Linked DNA regions of Danio rerio. The protein of the gene in region 1 purifies or fractionates together with the protein of each later gene. This does not show direct contact. Links are inferred from orthologs where the notes say so. Each region holds a gene or a part of one and is shown in the gene's direction. Other genes may lie near its edges.

Region 1 (6,946 bases):
TTTTCTATTGGAAAGAAATTTCCCCCTTAAAATGAAAGTGCCCCCTCCTTAGTGTACGCATCGTTAACAAAACCAGTTTTGCCTTCAAAATCTTTTTTAAAATGAACAACCAATTTCTGTGGTAAAGTAATTGTCCTGTTCGTCATTCTACAATGCTGCTGAGGAATAGATGATGTTTGCAGCACAGATAATGATGCATTTCGCATTTGATAGTGGCACAAATCTGAACTATAAAGATGAGATTCCATGCAGTTTGGTCATTACTTGAGCCACATGTAAGCAAAAAAATCTGATCTGGGCCACATTTGGCTGCAGTGTGAACATAGCCCAAAACATTACTGTTGAATTGGAAAAGAAAATAGTGGAGCATTATATAGTATAAAGTGTGTTTTTCAGAGTACCCCCTCCATATATCTGCTATGGGTTTTATATATATATATATATATATATATATATATATATATATATATATATATATATATATATATATATACCATTTCAATATGATATCACTGGCCAATGAACATGTCCTGTCAAACTATTTCATAACTGTAACAAGAGGCATTTCAATGAAATCCCATCTTAACGTTAAAAACAGCTGTCATAACATTATCAATAGGTGGACCTTTTAGAAACTATGGAAACAAAAAATGTAAAACAGGAAATACATTTAAACCATAGTTATTGTTTACATCTCTCAAAAAAGTCTATACTGCATGTCTGTGAATATACTGGCAGCAGCAAGTCACAGAACTTGTTCCGCCATAGCAATCAAAGCAGCAGCTGCGTAGCAGATCTATGCCGCCAAGACCAAATACATCAACAATGCCAAATACATATATATTACCATACTAAACCTCTCAGAGCGCTGTCATGACAAAAATATTTGAATAGTATAAATATTCATGTTCACTATAAATGATAACCATTAACGATTATTACACAATATAATAATGTATGAGATATTATACTAACAGCACTCAGTAACATGGTAATACAAATAATATTACTAACGTTACAGACTTAGAGGCATGCAAACAATTTCACCCCCAAAAACGAGTAAAAGTTCCTTTGAACTCTAAGAACCCTAAACATTTATGTCCATAATATTTCAGATGTAAAACTGTTTACCTGGTATGACGGGCAGCATATTGAACAGCTGAGCACTATGAACTTTCATTTGCATAGTCTGCTTGTCAAGAACTCCCACAAAATACCTGTTGACAACATTTACACACCATTATTGAGAGGTTATTTAAGTGTTGCTCAGCAAATAAATAACAACGTGATGACCTCACTTGCACATATTATTAGACTGCAGCGATCCAGACCCAAAATTGCTCCCTACATAGGGAAGCCTATCTGAATCTGCAACCTGCATAGAAAAGATAAAGTTAGTTCCTAAAAGCACAAACAACACAATTGCTTCAATTTAGACTTTTTAAAGTTATAAAACAAACGCAGTTTCAGTAGGTATAAGTGTTTTACCACTATTCGTCTGTTTTTCTTTCTGGGATTTGATGCATTTGAGTGTTTGAAGACAGTAAAGTCCAGCTCCTCGGCATTTTTCACATTTCCATTAGAGAACTTAACTGTAATGACAAGAATAATGCTTTAAAATACAATGCGTGACAGTTTTAAAAACTATACTGTTAGACTGAGTGTACATTGTTTATTATTTGGTCGAGATGACCATATCCACGTGGGTGCGTTAAATACATAGAGGAAGAATAAGATTAGTTTATTACAGCTAACAAATAACAGCAATTATATATTATGTTACATTTATGATACTCTGGGTATTAAAACATTACCAATAAAAGTATTCTGTTCCGTTTCTTCACATGTTTTCCACGAACAGGTCGCCGCCATTATTACGGTTTCCTCGGCTGATATTAGCACGCGTTCCTGCACGAACAGCGACACCAATCGGTTTAAACAGTTTAAACAGAAACTTCCATTCAATTGTTCTGATATGATATTAATTGAATTTGCACAACTATTTTTAAAATTGAATAAATATGGATTAAAAGCCTTTCAAAATGTATTGTAAAAGCTTTTGAAAGTAGTCTATTTTGTTCTCCAAGGCTGAATTTGGTCTAAAATGCAAAATAAATGACAAAATAAATAAATAAAGGCCTAAACTGATGTTTAAACTGAAATAAATAAAAATAAAGTGAAGGAAATTTATTTTAAACTGATGATGGCAAATAAGTATTCTTAATTCTACAAGCTTTTTATATTGAATTTCATGTTAGGACTGAGCAATAAAACTATAATATTCATACACTAGTTTAGATTATGTCCAGAATAAGGTTTATGCTTGTAGACATGACTAAGTAATGCTGATTATTTACACCACACAGACAGTTTGTGCCCAACAGCACAAGTTTCTATGATTTATTTTACAATCAGATCAGACAGCACTGACATTCAATTTTATTAATGCAATGTCTGAGGCTCCTTCACCATGTTTTGCAGAGGGATCCTAAAAATAATCAACTCTGGTGTTTCTCAAATTTCTCTGAAACTACAGTTTCAACATAAAGATTTTAACATTTTATTGTAACTGCACTGTAAAACCCAATCATTTTGATAAACCCAATAAACCCAAAAAACTCTTTTGTGGCAAACCATTAAAGTTTTTAAACAAAATGTTGAGAGTACATTTTCTATTCGACTCAGTCCCTTTTTTAATCTGAGGTCAACACAGCAGAATGAACCGCCAACTTATCCAGCATATGTTTTACGCAGCAGATCCCCTTCCCGCTGCAACCCATCTCTAGGTCTCTCTCATACACTATGGACAATTTAGCCTACCCAATTCACCTGTACCGCATGTCTTAGGACTGTGGGGAAAACCACACGAACACAGGGAGAACATGCAAACTCCACACAGAAACGCCAACTAACCCAGCTGAGGCTCGAACCAGTACCCTTCTTGCTGTGAGGCGACAGCACTACCTACTGCGCCACTGCATCACGTCCGACAAATAAATATAGTTTATTTAAACCAAGACAAATCTATTTTCTAGCGTTTTGGAAAAGAAAAGAAGGCAGGAAATACACATGACAGCTTTGTAACATAATATTCATGAGGCACGCTTCCGTGACCGCCTACTAAATCTAACTCTGACCCAATCACGCAATACTAAAGTAAGATTGACATGTGACGTAATTAATATTCATGAGTGAAGCATTTCTTCTACCAGGATTGGTAACGTTAGTATCGCCACCCGGAAGTTCAATTTCGAAATGTTTCTTAGAGCATTTTCACGAAAAATTTGATTTTTGGGCTTAATATGTTATGACCGGCCATGGTAATGGAGTCTGGGCGCACATCGGCATACGGCGTGCGTATAAATATTCTGTTTGTTCATTCTGATGTGTTTCTATGTGTAGCAAAAAACGTGTAACGTCAGGAAAATAGTCACGAGTACAGCTATATTTATCTTATGACAGACAATAGCGTTGAGGTGAATGATTTATTCCTTTATTTACCTGTATGCTTGTGCTGCTACGGTGTTTGTTGCTCTTTATATTTTTGTGCGCGTATGTTGTTGGCTAGTTTTAGAAAAAATACTCTAACTTATGTGCTTTATTATCAGTTAAATCTTCTTTTAGTGGCTCTGGTCTATTTGTAATTAGGCTGCTGTCCGAGTAACGGTAACCAAGTGTTCCGATAATGGCGCAATTGACCAGATCGTTTAGCCAGTGACATTAGTCTTTTACAAATTTCTTGTGGAATAGAAAGCCATTGTTGGGCTGTAATAGAGTTTGTGCATTAGCACTTTGAAATGTATAGCTTCAAAGTAACATTTGATGCCCGTTAAGTAGCTTTCAGCTATTTGTTGTAGTTGCTTTGACTATTACAATGCCCATTTTAAACTAATCTTTGTCTTGTTTTTGTGGCTTAGAATAACACCAATGTAGATTTTACACAAAGCACTGATGATGACCCTCTCATTGATGGACCACTCGTATCCCAAGATGCACTTGAGTCGGCAATCAAGAGAGAGTTTCAGACATTAAGCACTCACTGGGCAGTGGGTGTCCTTTCATTTTTACACGTAAGTGTAGAACCAAGAAATTGCACAAGTATACAGTACTGGTTACAAGTTTGGAAACATTAAGATTGGTTAATGTCTTTAAAAGTAGTTAATGCTTATCAAAATGTATTTTAAATCATTGAAATATTTAAAAAATGTGTTATGCTGTTACATAAGTATTATATAGTTTTTGAAACATCTGTGTGTTAATGTAAAATGTAGTTTATTCCTGTAGTTAAAGCAACATTTTTAGCAGTAATTCTAGTTTTCAGGGTCACATGATCTTTCAGAAAACATAATTTTTTCTCCAGAAAAATGTATTAATTTTTTGCAGCTTTTTCCCTTTATTAATCTGGGGTTGCCACAGCAGAATGAACTGACAGCTTATCCAGCATATGTTTTATGCAGCGGATGCCCTTCCAGCTGCAACCCATCACTGGGAAACACCGACACACTCTCTTACACACATACACCACAGACAATTTAGCTTACCCAAATCACCTATAGCGCATGTCTTTGGACTGGGGGAGAAACCGGAGCACCCGGAGAAACCCACGCCAACAAGAGGAGAACATGCAAACTCCACACAGAAATGCCAACTGACTTAGCTGAGGCTTAAACCAGCAACCCTCTTACAGTTAGGCGATGGTGCTACCCATTGCGCCACTGCGCCGCCTCCAGAAACATTTCTGATTATTATTGCTGCTTAATATTTATTTAGATCTGTGATGTGTAACCATCGGGATTTTTTAAATCAACGACCAAATAAATTGTTTAAAGATGGCTTTAAAACAATTATAATCTTACAAAAGCTTTACTTTTAAATAAATCCTGTTATTTTGAAGTTTATATTAATCAAAAAATCCTGAAAAGTAATTTGTCGCACAAAAAATACCATGCAGATGTTTTTATGGAAACTGTGATGAAACTGAAAAGTACCAGTAATAAATAATTAAAATAGTGCAGCACATCAACATATAGTAATATATTATTATAGATATTATAAAAATTGTAAATACATAAATATTTCGGCACTAAAAGCTCGAGTAATGTGGCTAGAAATTTAGCTTTAAATAATAAGAATACATATTTTTTAATTCCCATTTTAATTTATTAACACAGAGAAACATTTTATTTTTAAATTGTAAAAATATTGCACCATTCAATAACTTTCTTTTCAGCTTTTCCGAAAATTAATCAGTCTCTTTATTAATCAGGGGTCACCACAGCAGTATGAATCACTAACATATCCAGGATATGTTTAACACAGCAGATGCCCTTTTAGCTGCAACCCAGTACTGGGAAACATCCATACACACTCATACACTATGGCCAATTTAGTGTATTCAATTCGCCTATACCGCATGTCTTTGACAGACCCATGCGAACACGAGGAGAACATGCAAACTCCACACAGAAATGCTAACTAGCCCAGCCGGGGGTCAAACCAGCTGGCTGTGATACGACAGCACTGCACCACAATGCGGCCCAATATTTCATCAATATTTGATTTAACTAAGTGCAGGTTGGTGAGCAGGAGAGCTTTGAAAACCAAAAAAATCCAATTTTTAATATTTAATATACACTATTATACTAAGAGTATAAATATGTTTTACTCCCCTTTGTGTTCCAGAGATGACATATTTTTATTTCTGTGCATCCTGACAGTATTTTTAAAGAACACCTTGTTAAATGTGTTTCTGTCATTTCTCTGTTTCTTCTACAGGTGGTTTATGTGGTGGTGTGTATCGTAATTACAGTATTTTGCTGGATATCTGATGAACACACATCTGAGTGCACTGCAGCATTAAATGGGATAGACTCCAAAACCGTGGTGTTACTGGGAAAAGTTGCTCTCTGGGTGGTCGTCTTTATATACGATCGTGTTGTCCAGCGTCGCCACAGCGCAGTGAGACGGAAAGGTTATCTGGACTTTTACAGGATGACCAAAGGAATTAAAAGCCTTCCTCTACTCATTCACTCTGCAGGTGAAACATAATTTCTTCTCTTTATCTGTCACTTTAGAAACTGAATTAATCTCTGTGGATCACATGAGGTGATTGAAGTATGCTGTCAATTTTCCGTGTAGCACTGTAATGTTTTACAACTCGCAATCACCTCACAACAAGAAGGTCACTGGTTCGAGCCTCGGCTGGGTCAGTTTACATTTCTGTGTGGAGTTTGCATGTTCTCCTATTGTTCACGTGGGTTTCCTTCACGTGGTCTGGTTTCCCCCACAAGTCCAAAGACATGCGCTAAAGGTGAATTGGGTAAGCTAAATTGTCTAGTGCAGGGGTCACCAATCTCGGTCCTGAAGGGCCGGTGTCCCTGCAGGTTTTAGCTCCAACTTGCCTCAACACACCTGCCTTGGTGTTTCAAGTATACCTTGTAAAACCTTAATTAGCTTGTTCAGGTGTTTTTGATTAGGGTTGGAGCTAATATCTGCAGGACACCGGCCCTCCAGGAACAAGTTTGGTGACCACTGGTCTAGTGTATGTGTGTGAATGAGTGTGTATGGATGTTTCCCAGTGATGGGTTGCAGCTGGAAGGGCATCCGCTGCGTAAAACATGCTGGATAAGTTGGCAGTTCATTCCGCTTTGGCGACCTCAGATTAATAAAGGGACTGAGCCGAAAAGAAAATGAATGAATGAATGAATGTTTTACAACTGACCGCTAGATGGCAGTGCTTAAGCTATCATTAGGACTGTAAATAAGCTGTGGAAAAAATTGAGACCAGTTGAAAAAGTGTCGGTTTTTCTGGAATTGCTTGATTTACTTGGTATTATTGGATTAAAATATTGATATTTGTTTTATTCTCTGAAGCTCTGATAACATTTCTTCCATTTGTATAGAACCAATTTATAATAAAGTATAATACTGAGATTTGAGGCAACTT
Region 2 (6,214 bases), on another chromosome or scaffold:
AGCCACAGAAATTAGAGGGTCCATTAAATGTTGGTTGAAAATTTGGTACATCATTAATATCAACACACTTTTGGATTCCCATTGTTGCACATTTCTTCTGTGTGATTGCTCTTAAATCAATATAAAGTAAAAAAGTCCAGAGGTTATCATTGCTATTGACATAAATTTTATCGTGATTCAATATAGTATTGTTGATCGGCCCAGCCCTAAATGACGTTAAAAGTTTCCCAAGAAATACTCCAATAAAGTTTTAAAAAGGCTTTTTTCTTAAGTACCGTAATAAAGCAAAATATCTATAACTGTTCACCATGGGATTTTAAATAATGGCGGAAGAACTTTTTATTTTTACTTTAGAGTTTAATGTCTTGACCCACATACTGAGGTTTAGTTTGACTCACCGCCCTTTCAAAGTTCATAACACAACAGCTTTTACTACATCTTGCCATAAATGTGGTAGTAAATCAAGCCTGACGAACAAAATCTAATTTGAGTTCATGATGATATGTGAATTGTGTAAAATGGACCCTAGACATGCTTGTTTTTAGCATCAGAATGTTGTCATTTGCAGCAGGGGCTGTAGATATGACTAAAAGAAAACCGTGAAAGCTAATGTTTCTGTGTGTTTCTCTTCAGGATACCACTAAAGAAGTTTCGAACCCTCAGACGAACACTAAGTGACTCTGGCAGATCATTAGAGGAGCTTGTGTCTAGTTCTAATTCCCTGAAATACAACCTGGGCTTCCCAGCTAGTAATGATCCTACTCCAGAAACACTCAAAAACTACCTAGATGTGAGTATCTGCTTGCTGACATCATGTCTTGTGTGGGTGGATTGGGGTTTTTGTGCATTTTCATGCTCACATTTGTTTTTAATAATTAGTTAATTCCAGAATGAAAGTTTCCTGATTATTTATTTACTCAGCCTTTTGTCATCCAAGAAGTTAATTAAATTTCTTCAGTCAAAATTTTTTTTATTTGTTTATTTATTGCTTTATTTATTATTGTTTGTTTATTATTGTTTATAATTTATTTATTATTTTCTATTATTATTTATTTATATATTTAAAGAAAATTAGAGACAGATTGTCTCTAATTTGAGCACGGCATTATGGTAAATCAGTAAATTTGACGTCAGAGACAAATGAACGTCTGTGCACTTTTTATTAGCACAAAGTTATAGATTCAGGAAGTTGCAAGAATGAGGACAGTCAGTTATAGTTTAACACACAGTTGTTTTGCTCAGTCATGTCACATGATTATTAAGTGTCGACATGGTGGAACGTGATTTACGGTTGAGGGAGAAAAAAGTGAACCCGAAACCTATTCTGTCATCGGTATTCAGCCAAAAAATATTCTTGTCAGTTTCCTGTCATGTTCATAAAATGGATATCATGATAGTGTGTGGTGTGATTTGTTACAGTCATGAGGTTGTTTGTCAATGCCTTTGTCACAGGTTTCTATAACAATCCGATTTGGAAACAAGCAGCTGATATTATTACCAGTTGTAGTTTTGTAAACAGGCTTAGGTGGTTGAAGTTCTTAGTGGATAAAGATTACATTTGTTTTGCATGACGAATGGGTAATATATGTTATGTGCTATAATCATTTCTTTGTAAATGCTTTCCTGCTAAAAAGTCTTTCATAGGTCATCAGTATTCATCTCACACACACGCATAAAAACTTGAATACATGGTGTTCATGGACTTCATAACACCAGGAAAAATTTTAGAACTTTATCACGTTTTAACACTAGAAATCTTATTTAATTGATGTATTCATTAGTTTGTTGTTTTTAATTGTATATTTATTATTGAAATGTTCTTGCCATGAAAATAGCATTGGTTGTTGACATGGCATTAAATAAAAAATACATTACATCATGGACTCCATAGGCCTTATGTTTTTTTTTTTTTACAGATAAAGAACGCTTATCATATAGCCCTACCCTAAACCCAAAATCTTAAGTATTTTTTTTAGCGAACATTTAATTTTGAACGAAGCCCGAGATCCACTCAATAAAAAGTGAAGTAAAATAAAATAAAAACAGTAATACTGCAATATTAGGTACAAATCAGGTCTGATACAGTCTCATATTTAACCAAAACTGTACAGTTTTCTTACTGGCACCATTTATTTTGGCTGTGGTGTATTCCAAACTAATAATGTCCAGTAGATAGAGCCTCCAAGATAGGTTAAAGAATACCAGACATGAACAAACTGTCTATACTAGATCTTAAATTGGACATTCTTGGTTGACTCATTTTTATTTACTGAATAATGAAGCACCACCTGAATGTAGTTACTGCCTATGTGGAAGTTTGAATAGCATTAGACAACTTTTATATGGAGAGTACTTTAATGGACATTTTTAAAAAGGTACCACCAAGAAGAACCTTAACTTATTTATCAAAAATTTTACTGAAAAAATCATTTTTAACTTTGAATATATTTTTGTGTCATTTTTTTATTTCTACCGTATATATTTGTCTAAGTAACTTTTTATTGTAATTTAAATTTGTTTTTATCATGTAATATTTTTTATATCCATTTTGTCATGAAATAGCCTTAAGTTAAAAAACTTCTTTTGTGTTCAAACAGGTTTGTGACAGGTCAAGTGTGAATAAATGATGACAGAATTTCTGTTTTGGGTGAACTATCCCTAACTGTTGTGAAAAAAAATAATTGGAAATGTGTTGTGCTGTCTAAAAAAATAAATATAAACCTGTCTGAAAATTTGTTTCACAGCAAAACCAGTGTCACAAGCAAGATTTGCAGACACAAGTAGTTTTTTTAAGAATCTAGAAACTGTAAACCTTTGTGAAACACATTTTGTAGCCTGCAGTCTGTTGTGGTGGTGAATTTTAAATGAATTGGGTTTTTGTCTACAGGCTCAGTATTATGGCGAGATCGGTCTTGGCACTCCTGTCCAGACCTTCACTGTGGTGTTTGACACTGGATCCTCCAACCTGTGGGTACCTTCAGTCCACTGTTCCCTGACTGACATCGCCTGCTGTAAGTCCACACAGAGCCTGCCAGCTTTTTGCACAGTGCACTGTCAGGTCACTGATGTCTTTACATTATTCATTTAAAGTGAATTCTTTCAGAAACAAGAAGTTACTTTAGTTTGGCACAGTGTTGCTCAAGTTTGTCGGTGGCAACTTTTTTTTTTCATGGTTGCAAGTATGTTTCTGTAATCTTGTCATAGATCATATCAACTTTTCAACATAGCTGCTTGCGTTTACCTTTTGTAGCATAGATTTAGTGATAACTTTGCTTGATGTGAATGTTTGGGTGTTTCATAAGGCAAGTAAAATTGTGTTTTTTTTATCAAGTTCACTACTTTATGAATGTTCAACATTTAATTTAAAGACATTAGATGCTATAAGTTGTTTTTTTTTTTAATGCCACTTTTTTATGAATGAATTGTCATGAAATGTACGTGGTCTTCATATGTAATTGAAACATTCAATTATAACCATCAGTTTTAAAACTTCTTTTATTTTTTTAACCCTTTTTTTTTTTATGGAAGGCCAAAATACACACTGAGGGTGGTGGGCCAAACTAAATATACCAAACTGTATTGCAATCAAGTTGCAGTTGTAACTTCCTAATTTAATAGTATTAAATATATAAAAACAATAATTATATGTTTTTAGATTTTATATTGTACTACTTACAATAGTCATAAACAATTTAATTTATAACATAATGAATCTATATCTATCTAATTGTGTTTTGGCCGTTTTCTGACTTGTTAAAAATCTGATTAATTCACAGTTTTGCTTTTTTGTAGCTCAGCGATTAAACAAACACAAAATAGATGTAAAAATTAGAAATGTTTAAGGGATTTGCCCCAACCTTCCCCATTATTTCCCCATCTCTTCTCTAATTGGTTTGCGGGCCAAATCAAAGGTTACCATTGGCCAACTTTTGTCATCTCTGTTCTAAAGCCTTTTTTTTATATGTGGGTAAATGCCCTGATGTGTAAAATAAGAATATGTCTCTGTTCATTCCATGTAATATAGTACTATACCTTTTTTTTTTTTGCATGTTTATATAGCTGAAATTAATAACCAATAAAAATGCAACTTGAGGTCTGCATTCTCGACAACACCAGATTTCCTGCGGTGTGGGAATAAATTTCTGAATAAAACACGGTAGCAGTCCGTAACTCCGGTGTAATTTGACCGGGAGTAGGCAGGCTAACAATATAGTGTTCCTGAGTCCCGACGTTATTTCAGAATAGCATATCTGTGTTTTTTTTTTCTCATTCTTATTGAGCTCCAGTACAGCCAGTGCTCACGACTGTTACACATTGAACGCATGACCAGTGCTTTCTGCATGTGCTTTTTTTCCCACACAGTCTGTACATGCGTCATCTGCTTAACAGTTTTCAGAGTGGGATTTACCAACATTGGAGTGCAAAATGAAGATGCGCTGTCCTTCGGCTTGCCTTAGAAAATGGTCAGTTTACTGTTAGAACATTAGGCAAGTCTGATGTATGGGAGTCTTTTTCATGCGTCCTAGACACAAATGGAAAAAAAATGACTCTGCGTGATAATACCTCAAAATTTTACCATTAAGCAGTCACAAGACTGGAACCTCAGGTTTAAGGTGGCACTCATGTCTCATCACAAAGGGACAAACAAAACTAATATTTAGCTTACAAAGCCTATGGTTTTATCTGTTATCTCTCTCTTTTGGTAGTGCCCAATTTAAACATGAAGTTTTAAAAAACAGATCTAAATTTAGTGGGAATGGTCGGGAAGAAAATTATTCTAGGCGGGCAGCGGCTAAACAAAGGCTGAATGTACGGCTGGAGCAAGACAAAAAAAAAAAAACTATACATGACTGATTATATGCATATCTTTTATTTTAACCATGTAGTGCTTCATCACAAGTACAATGGGGGCAAATCAAGCACCTATGTGAAGAATGGGACTCAATTTGCCATCCAGTATGGATCAGGAAGTTTGTCCGGGTATCTCAGCCAGGACACCTGCACGGTAGGAATCAACAGTCACACAGTTTTTAACACTTGAAGTGTTGAAAGCAAGAAAAAGCAATCTGTTATGTCTCTTTTAGATTGGAGATATTGCAGTTGAAAAGCAGATATTTGGAGAAGCTATCAAGCAGCCAGGAGTGGCCTTCATTGCTGCCAAGTTTGACGGTATTCTCGGGATGGCCTATCCTCGCATCGCTGTCGATGGGGTTCCTCCTGTTTTCGACATGATGATGAGCCAGAAGAAAGTGGAGAAAAATGTTTTCTCTTTCTATCTTAACAGGTACCCTTCTTTATATATAGGGCATCCAGATGTACAAATGTCAGTCTATCGTAAGCATCCATTAAATGCAGTTGAAAGTCAGACCTGATGGTTGTTTTATTTGTCTGAAAGAAACCCTGACACTCAGCCTGGTGGTGAGCTGCTACTGGGAGGAACAGACCCCAAATATTACACTGGAGATTTCAACTATGTGGACATCAGCAGACAGGCCTATTGGCAGATTCACATGGATGGGTGAGAGAATTTTGAGACCTTGTGCTGAATAATGCAGTTGTCCTCTAGGGGTGTGTGTGATATTTATATTTCTCTTTAGTGTTGTAGCTGTAGTGTGTTAACTTTATCCAGTATGTCACCCACTTTGCAAAAAAATAAAAATAAAAAACACAAAAATAACAAATCTTCAAAAAGCATTTACAGCATAAAGCTAGTTAAAATGACCTGTCATTTAAATTTTGATATTATTGAACTAATAATGATTATTTCTATAATGTTTGATAGGTAAGTAATATCACACAAACAAGAGTTCTGATTTCCTGAATGTCAACACATGAGCGTGACTTTAAATGTGATGTTGCTTTAAATTCAAGTTAATAAAGTCATAGGGTTTTTGACAAGACACCAAACCCACTAGATTTAAATAAACAGGACATATCGTAATTCTTTCTCTAACAATTCTGAATCTCAAAGGTCAGAATCGATAATGTGCTGACCTGCACAGGCACGAACAAATGACAGAAAAATAATAACAGGGTTTGCATGGTCTTAAAATGTCTTAAATTCACTGAAATATCCTCTTGTACGTCTTAAATCATTTTAAATGGGTCTTAATTTTCCTTTAAGTAAACCTAGACAATCGATCCAATTTGCTTCCGATCCCCAGCAATACATCTCAATAAAACTTTTAGCAAAACTAAATACATAACCAATTTT
Region 3 (6,651 bases), on another chromosome or scaffold:
CAACTATGGAGGACGCAAAAACAATAAATAAATACGCAAATAAATGAGTAAATAAATCCATAAATTCATGCATAAATAAAACAATAAATAAGCAAAAAAAATGTGTATATATATAAACTTTCTGCATAAATAAATGTATAAATAATTAATAGAGCAGTCAATCATCAGAAGCCAGTAAAAAAAAATTATAGTTTTTTTTTTTTTTAATGAAAAGCAAATGTTTTCTAACGATCAACCAATAATGGCATGAAGACCACTTTCTGATGATTGACAGAACCAGTCTCATTAGCATGTTTACTGAGGAAAGGTAAATACATAACTACAATCAAGAATGAATAAACATTTGGGAGGGGGCGGGGGGTGGAGCTTTCAGTTTACCATTTTCTTATTCCCGTAACATTCGTGTAATTTATTAAATTTTGTACCTGCCTGATTGAGTTATGCAGGAATTTGTGGATTTTTATATACATTTACTCGTTTATTATATATTTGTGTATTTATTTATTAATTTATAGATTTAAAAAAAATAAAGGTTTCATCTTTCATAGCCAACACCTTGACAGAGAAAAAAATCATTAATTAAACATAAATTAAACAAAAAGTTTACTTTTTCTTTCATAAGGTTTTCCACACAGGCTTTAAGTCAACTTAAAGTATGTCAAGTTAACTATGGTAATTTATTTTTTGTTATTTTTTAGCTATGCAAAAGTAACATTGAATACATTTGAAATTTACTTTTAATTCTAGTTAATGAACACTGTGTATTTTTCTTCAAACAACATAATACTGAACACAATCATACTTTTAAAGTGTATGCTTTACTTAAAAAATTGAAATAGTAACAACATTAAAAGATATTCACACAACAATCTAACTGAACAGAGACCTCAATACCTAATACACAATACACAATGACGAGTCTAACTACAATAAAAGCTAACCATATTTCCATTTCAGTTCTACTAATAAAGAATTAAGCAGTAAATAAAAATTAATAAATTAAAAAATAAAACAAACAAAAACTATTACATGGGTAAACAATGCATAGTTTAACTATCAAAAATGCAAAGACTACTATAAATACGTAGTTATTATTTACAGGAATGCAATTACCAAAATAACAGGGTTAAAACACGTGGAAAAGCTTTACACGTTTTGTGACACTATAGCACGTCAGGTCAAAGATAGCTCATGTTTGACTCCAGCTAACGTTAGACATATATAAGTTAAGTTTAACCTGCAATAAAAGGAGTGTCACTCATTACAGTAAATTCATTGTCACAGAATAAAGCAACTAGTGAAGGTTATAACGTTAACGTTAAATTACAATAATTACTTTTTAATAAAGAAATTAACTTTACAGCTTTAACATTTAGCAGTTAGCAAGCTAATTTACATGCGAGGCAAAGTATCAATCCACACAATTACATAGTGTTTAAATTAGGAGTCTTTTGTTCAGTATAAATTTAAAACAACACCTCTCATGGTCTCAGGTTCGGCCTACCTTTTCCTCTTATTTTTGTCCGATTTTAATCCATGAAATTGTAGATATGTAGTAGCGGAAGTACGTTAGGTGAAACTTTAGCAATATTTCAGATTTTCTTTAAGGAATATTTTTGTAATGTTTTTATTTTCCCCCAAAAGTGGGTCGTGTGTACTTTAGATTTGTTGCTGTGTGTGTCCTGCCAAAACGAGTCCAGACAAAGCCAGTAGAGCACAGATCCTTCATAATCAATTACCGAAAACATCGTTCATGAGCCAGCCAATCAGGTTGATCTGTCAAAAAAAAAAACACAGATGAACCAGTCAAGATGAAATCTTGTGCTAAACAGCCAAGTTATATTTACATTCACATTCCGTTGTCCTATATTTATATTTGATCATGGGCAGTTAAGTGATCAAATAATTTTTATTCACATATTCAGTCTTGCTAAATGTTAGATTACACATAAACTAAGTCAAACATATATACCAATTGAATAACAAAAGAGGGGATTTTCATTCAGAATTTTTTTTTCAAATGACGGAGAAGTCATGCACCTTAAACAAAGAGAAAACAATCAACTATTGTTTGCTGTTTTGCTCCAAGTCCTTCTCCGTTCGTGAGAGCCAATCACTGCTCGTGTTTTTGAAGCTGCTGAACACATTGACCAATGGCAGCTCTCCGTTACCCGGAAAAGCTTGCAGCTCGTCTTGTGTTTATCAGCCACGACAGCCAGGCAACGATCTTTCAATGAGGTTACTGTACTGTGCCTCATCCGCTCGTCCGCAAGTATGGATTCCTGTTTTGTGATTGTTGCCTTTCTCTTTGCTTTCAGTCTTTCCAGTGGAGAGAGGACGCTAAAGTTTGTCACTGTGGTGAGTTTAATAATACATCTGTCCTTTAAAAAAACAAACGTTAAGTATGTAACAGACAGTAACTGAATAACCGGGGCCTGAAGCTATTTACAAAACCTTTCGTTTTAAAAACATTGACAACGCGAAGTCTCAGTCAGACCTTTTATTATGTGCCTCGTGTGTTTCTTTAGGGGTGTCATATTTCTGTTATTCAGCTGTGTGCCTTTCTGTAATTACCTGTTAGTTGATGTCTAAATTCGTGTTTCTCTCTCGAATGTTTTGCTTTCTACAGATTTTCGCATTTTCTGTAATTTCGGTAAAATGTAGTTTTCGACTTGATCTTTATTAATTCCTCATTAAAGTACAGATTGAGCAATCTGAAGAGCAGACCGTCACATGACATGTTGTTTTGCTTCATTTCACCTCCCATTTTCGTCAAAGCAATAAAACACCTTTGTAGGTTAAATGTCACCTATTTTTTTTAGTAAGGGTAACATTATTGCTTGGCTTTTAGGTGAGAAAGATCTCTGAAATTAGTAATGCAACTGCAAGCCTATTACAGAATGTCTGTCATATGAACGAATTGGTAAACCAAGGGCTAACTTGTACTGAATCCATTTGTAACGTTAATGGATAAAGATAGAAAAAGTGTCTGCAAGGTAATTTATGGAGCAATTCCATGCAAATGTCAACCATGTTTCACGAAAATAGCGAAACCCTTTCTAGATTTTTTATTTTTTATTTTTTTGCTTAGGCTTGTATTTTACTGTACTCTAAAAATACTCAAAAACGTATCTGTCAGTGTTTTCAAGCCATTCTATTTGATTACCAAAGTCACAAATGTGTCAATTTCACATCTGTCACATCCATAACAGAGAGGTGTCGCATCCATAATGGAGCTTTTTCCTCAAAATGCAAAAATGTTAAATAAAATACAGCCAATCTTTTCTGTTCTATAGTGAGCCAACTCTCATTTTATTGATTATCATTGTTTCTTTGGGGTTGTGCAGTTTGAGTCACAGAATTTCTACAAAATATGTTGAATACTGTAAACTCGCAGACTTTTTGGTCACATCCATAACACATGTTTATTTTTACTCATTTAAAATATAACACATGTTAGCAGATTATTATTTTTTCTGATCCCATAACTCTGTGGTGAGTTACTTTGGAAAATATAAACCGATGTTTCAATATAATCTTAACATATACTTTCTGTGCATTTATGTTTTAGGTTTTTACTGAAAATGTCACATCCATAACAATTTAATAATTTACAATTCAAGTTTTTAATGAAATTTTCCTTAGTTTTTAAATTTAAAATAAAGTTACTTTGATATGATTTTTGCTGTTCTCAAAGAAACAGCAAGCAACAAATTGAATTAAATGAGGAATTATTAAAGTAGAAATACTAAACTATTTTCATGTGAAACTTACTTCAATGAACATTTAAATCTCTTTCACCTTTATCTCTCAGTCCATTCTCAGCACGTTATATAGCACAATATGCACGATATTGGAAAAATCAAAAAATTTTTTAGTGTGCAATATATATTGTGTTATGAATTCGATTTCGGCCACGCAGTGGCGCAGTAGGTAGCGCTGTTGCCTCATAGCAAGAAGGTCGCTGGATCGCTGATTCGAGCCTCGGTCAGTTGGTGTTTCTGTGAGGAGTTTGCATGTTCTCTTTGCGTTTGTGTGGGTTTCCTCCGGGTGCTCCGGTTTTCCCTACAGTCCAAAGACATGCAGTTCAGGTGAATTGGGTAGGCTAAATTGTCGGGTGTGTGTGTGTGTGTGTGTGTGTGTGTGTGTGTGTGTGTGTGATTGTGTGTATGTGTGTGTGTGTGTGTGTGTGTGTGTGTGTGTGTGTGTGTGTGTGTGTGCGCGCGTGCGTGCGTGTGTGTGTGTGTGGATGTTTCCCAGAGATGGGTTGCAGCTAAAAGGGCATCCGCTACATAAAAAATGTGCTGGATAAGTTGGTGGTTCATTCCGCTGTGGCGACCCCGGATTAATAAAGGGACTAAGCCGACAAGAAAATGATTGAATGAAAACGATTTCATCATAACTTTTTAGTAAGATTTTATCATTTTAGATTGATTGGTATGATTCTGTAGGGGAGTGCATTTGCCTAAAATATAACAAACAATCTATAAGCATACATGAATTTATTTAAGAAAAAGATACCAATTAAATAAACAGCTTTTATTGTTTTCCGAGAAGTCAAACAGTATTCAGGTATACAGTAATTGAATAATCAAATGTAAAAAATACTGGGTAGTCTTTGTTTTATAAACAATTAAAAAAAAAAATCATTATTGATTTTTCGAAGTTACAAATGGTACAATTTCTTATGCCCGAATGCTTTTAAAATCCTCACACAGTCACAAGCCTCAAAAACACTTTTATAATGATCAATTATAATCCAAACTCAGCATTGTGTATACTCGCAATGTCATTATTGTGAATGATCACATTGCCCCATTGCTTTTGAAGCAATATATTCTGCAGCCCTAATTTAAATATATGTTAATTAATCTTGTTTGTTTTAATAATTCCATGTGTTTAATCTACTTTTGTTGTTATACTGTTGTATTTGAGATGTGAATGTTTTACCTGTATATTGTTGTAATTAGTTTCTCATATTCCTGCTTTACCAGACAAAAACCTCAACTGTCCTTTCATTTTGAGTATAGTCATGTTAGATACTGAAACTTGGCTACTGTTTAATAGTGTTTCATTTAAAGTGTGTTCTGGTTAATCACGATTCCTTGCAAATGAGGAAGTTTAAACCAGAGCTTGTCATTTTAAGCACGATTGAATAACATGGTTATAAATGAAAGTGTTCACTGTAAACCTTCATGAGACTGATAATGCAGTAACCGTCTCTCAGAGCTGAAACTTTCTAAACGTGGCTGGTTTCTGTGAAGCCCAGAGATGAAGATAAGGAGATAGACTGAATCTGTTTATCCAATTAGAATGTGTTTACAGACTTCTGTGGCTTGTGTCCGGGTGTCAGCATGAGCACATGACAAGCTCAGTTTGCTGATCTAGCCACTGTTGCACAGTGTAGTTCATTATCCTGAACACACACACTCATGAAGAATTTGACTTCCTCTCCCTCAGCTCTACCGACATGGTGACAGATCTCCGATTAAGGCCTATCCAAATGATCCATACAAGGAGAGTGACTGGCCTCAGGGTTTTGGACAGCTCTCTCAGGTATACACAAACACACATTCCATACCCTCTTTGTTTTTGTTTCATGCTTTTGGGGGAGTATTATGCAGAATTTATCAGATGTATGCATGATGCATATTCATAAATGTTTCATCTGTGCAAATGTTTTCTTTTTCTTCCATTTTTGACCTCTTGGTGCGCAATTAAAAAGGCCACTTTGTGCCTGATCAAAATAATGTGAATAAGTGTAGTTTCACAAACTAATTTCGCTAGGAGCAGTGATATGATTGACTGCAGCTGGCCTCCCATCTACATTCATTAGTTAGCCAATCAGATTAATTCAAAATATCAGTAGCCTAGCTAGAACTACTCCCTTATCTTCGTTTTCCAAAGAAATCCCCCATCCACCCATTCTCCTCCTTTCCTCCTTTACCATGGGGAGCTCTCGAGAACAAGCTGATCTCGTACTCCCCTCACATGCTCTATGGACCAGGCGTTACCCCTGTGCTCAACTATCTCCGAGCACAGTGTTCGCTCCGGGGACAGCATGCCAAACCTGCTAACATTTGTCAAACAATATCTGAGTGTGAACTCTTGAAAGGCTGCTTAAAATATGTCTAGGTTGACTCGTAGCCCTAATGTCAAAGCATATGGTTGTAATTGTTGTGTAAAAGCATTTATAGCACCTCTGTGCAGCGTTAAGTGTTCTGTGAAAGACACCTTAATGCCACCTCAGAAGTGCTTCTATGTCAACTTTGCTTTGTAAATTTGGCATGATAGACTGCTCTTTCAATCTGTCGCCCAGAATCCAAACATGACATACAGTTGAAGTCATAATTATTAGCCCTCCTGTGAAATGTGAATTTTTTTATGTTTCCCAAGTGATGTTTAACAGACCAGGGAAAGTTTTACAGTGTTTCTTTTTTTTTTTTTTCTTCTGGGGAAAGTCTAAAAGTGTGTGGCTGGAATAAAATCAGTTAGAAAAAAATGACGGTCAATATTTATACTATTAGTCCCTTTAAGATTTTTTTTCATTTGGCTACAGAACAAACCACTGTTGTCCAATGACTTCCCTAATTATCCTAACTTGCCTAGTTAGCCTTATTTACATAGCGCTTTAAACTGAAGATTATCTTG

The links.
Region 2: the proteins of tmem192 (region 1) and ctsd purify together in Homo sapiens (affinity purification with western blotting; 3 studies listed by BioGRID, with this or other methods). This does not show direct contact. The link is inferred for Danio rerio from reciprocal best matches to the Homo sapiens genes TMEM192 and CTSD.
Region 3: the proteins of tmem192 (region 1) and acp2 purify together in Homo sapiens (affinity purification with mass spectrometry; 3 studies listed by BioGRID and IntAct, with this or other methods). This does not show direct contact. The link is inferred for Danio rerio from reciprocal best matches to the Homo sapiens genes TMEM192 and ACP2.

Annotation. Positions count from the first base shown.
Region 1 is NC_133176.1:21,148,613-21,155,558, forward strand, and holds the start of tmem192 (transmembrane protein 192), read left to right. Parts: upstream 1-3,225; 5' UTR 3,226-3,317; coding exon of another isoform or gene 3,318-3,353; 5' UTR 3,354-3,455; coding exon 3,456-3,476; intron 3,477-3,917; coding exon 3,918-4,070; intron 4,071-5,775; coding exon 5,776-6,037; intron 6,038-6,946. Other genes in the region: polr1e (DNA-directed RNA polymerase I subunit RPA49), read right to left, coding at 1,132-1,217, 1,299-1,375, 1,489-1,592, 1,815-1,872.
Region 2 is NC_133193.1:17,515,717-17,521,930, forward strand, and holds part of ctsd (cathepsin D precursor), read left to right. Parts: intron 1-633; coding exon 634-790; intron 791-2,887; coding exon 2,888-3,011; intron 3,012-4,886; coding exon 4,887-5,005; intron 5,006-5,084; coding exon 5,085-5,284; intron 5,285-5,395; coding exon 5,396-5,518; intron 5,519-6,214. UniProt on the Homo sapiens protein: Acid protease active in intracellular protein breakdown. Plays a role in APP processing following cleavage and activation by ADAM30 which leads to APP degradation.
Region 3 is NC_133182.1:39,575,660-39,582,310, forward strand, and holds the start of acp2 (lysosomal acid phosphatase precursor), read left to right. Parts: upstream 1-2,163; 5' UTR 2,164-2,274; coding exon 2,275-2,358; intron 2,359-5,460; coding exon 5,461-5,556; exon of another isoform or gene 5,557-5,661; intron 5,662-5,725; exon of another isoform or gene 5,726-6,651.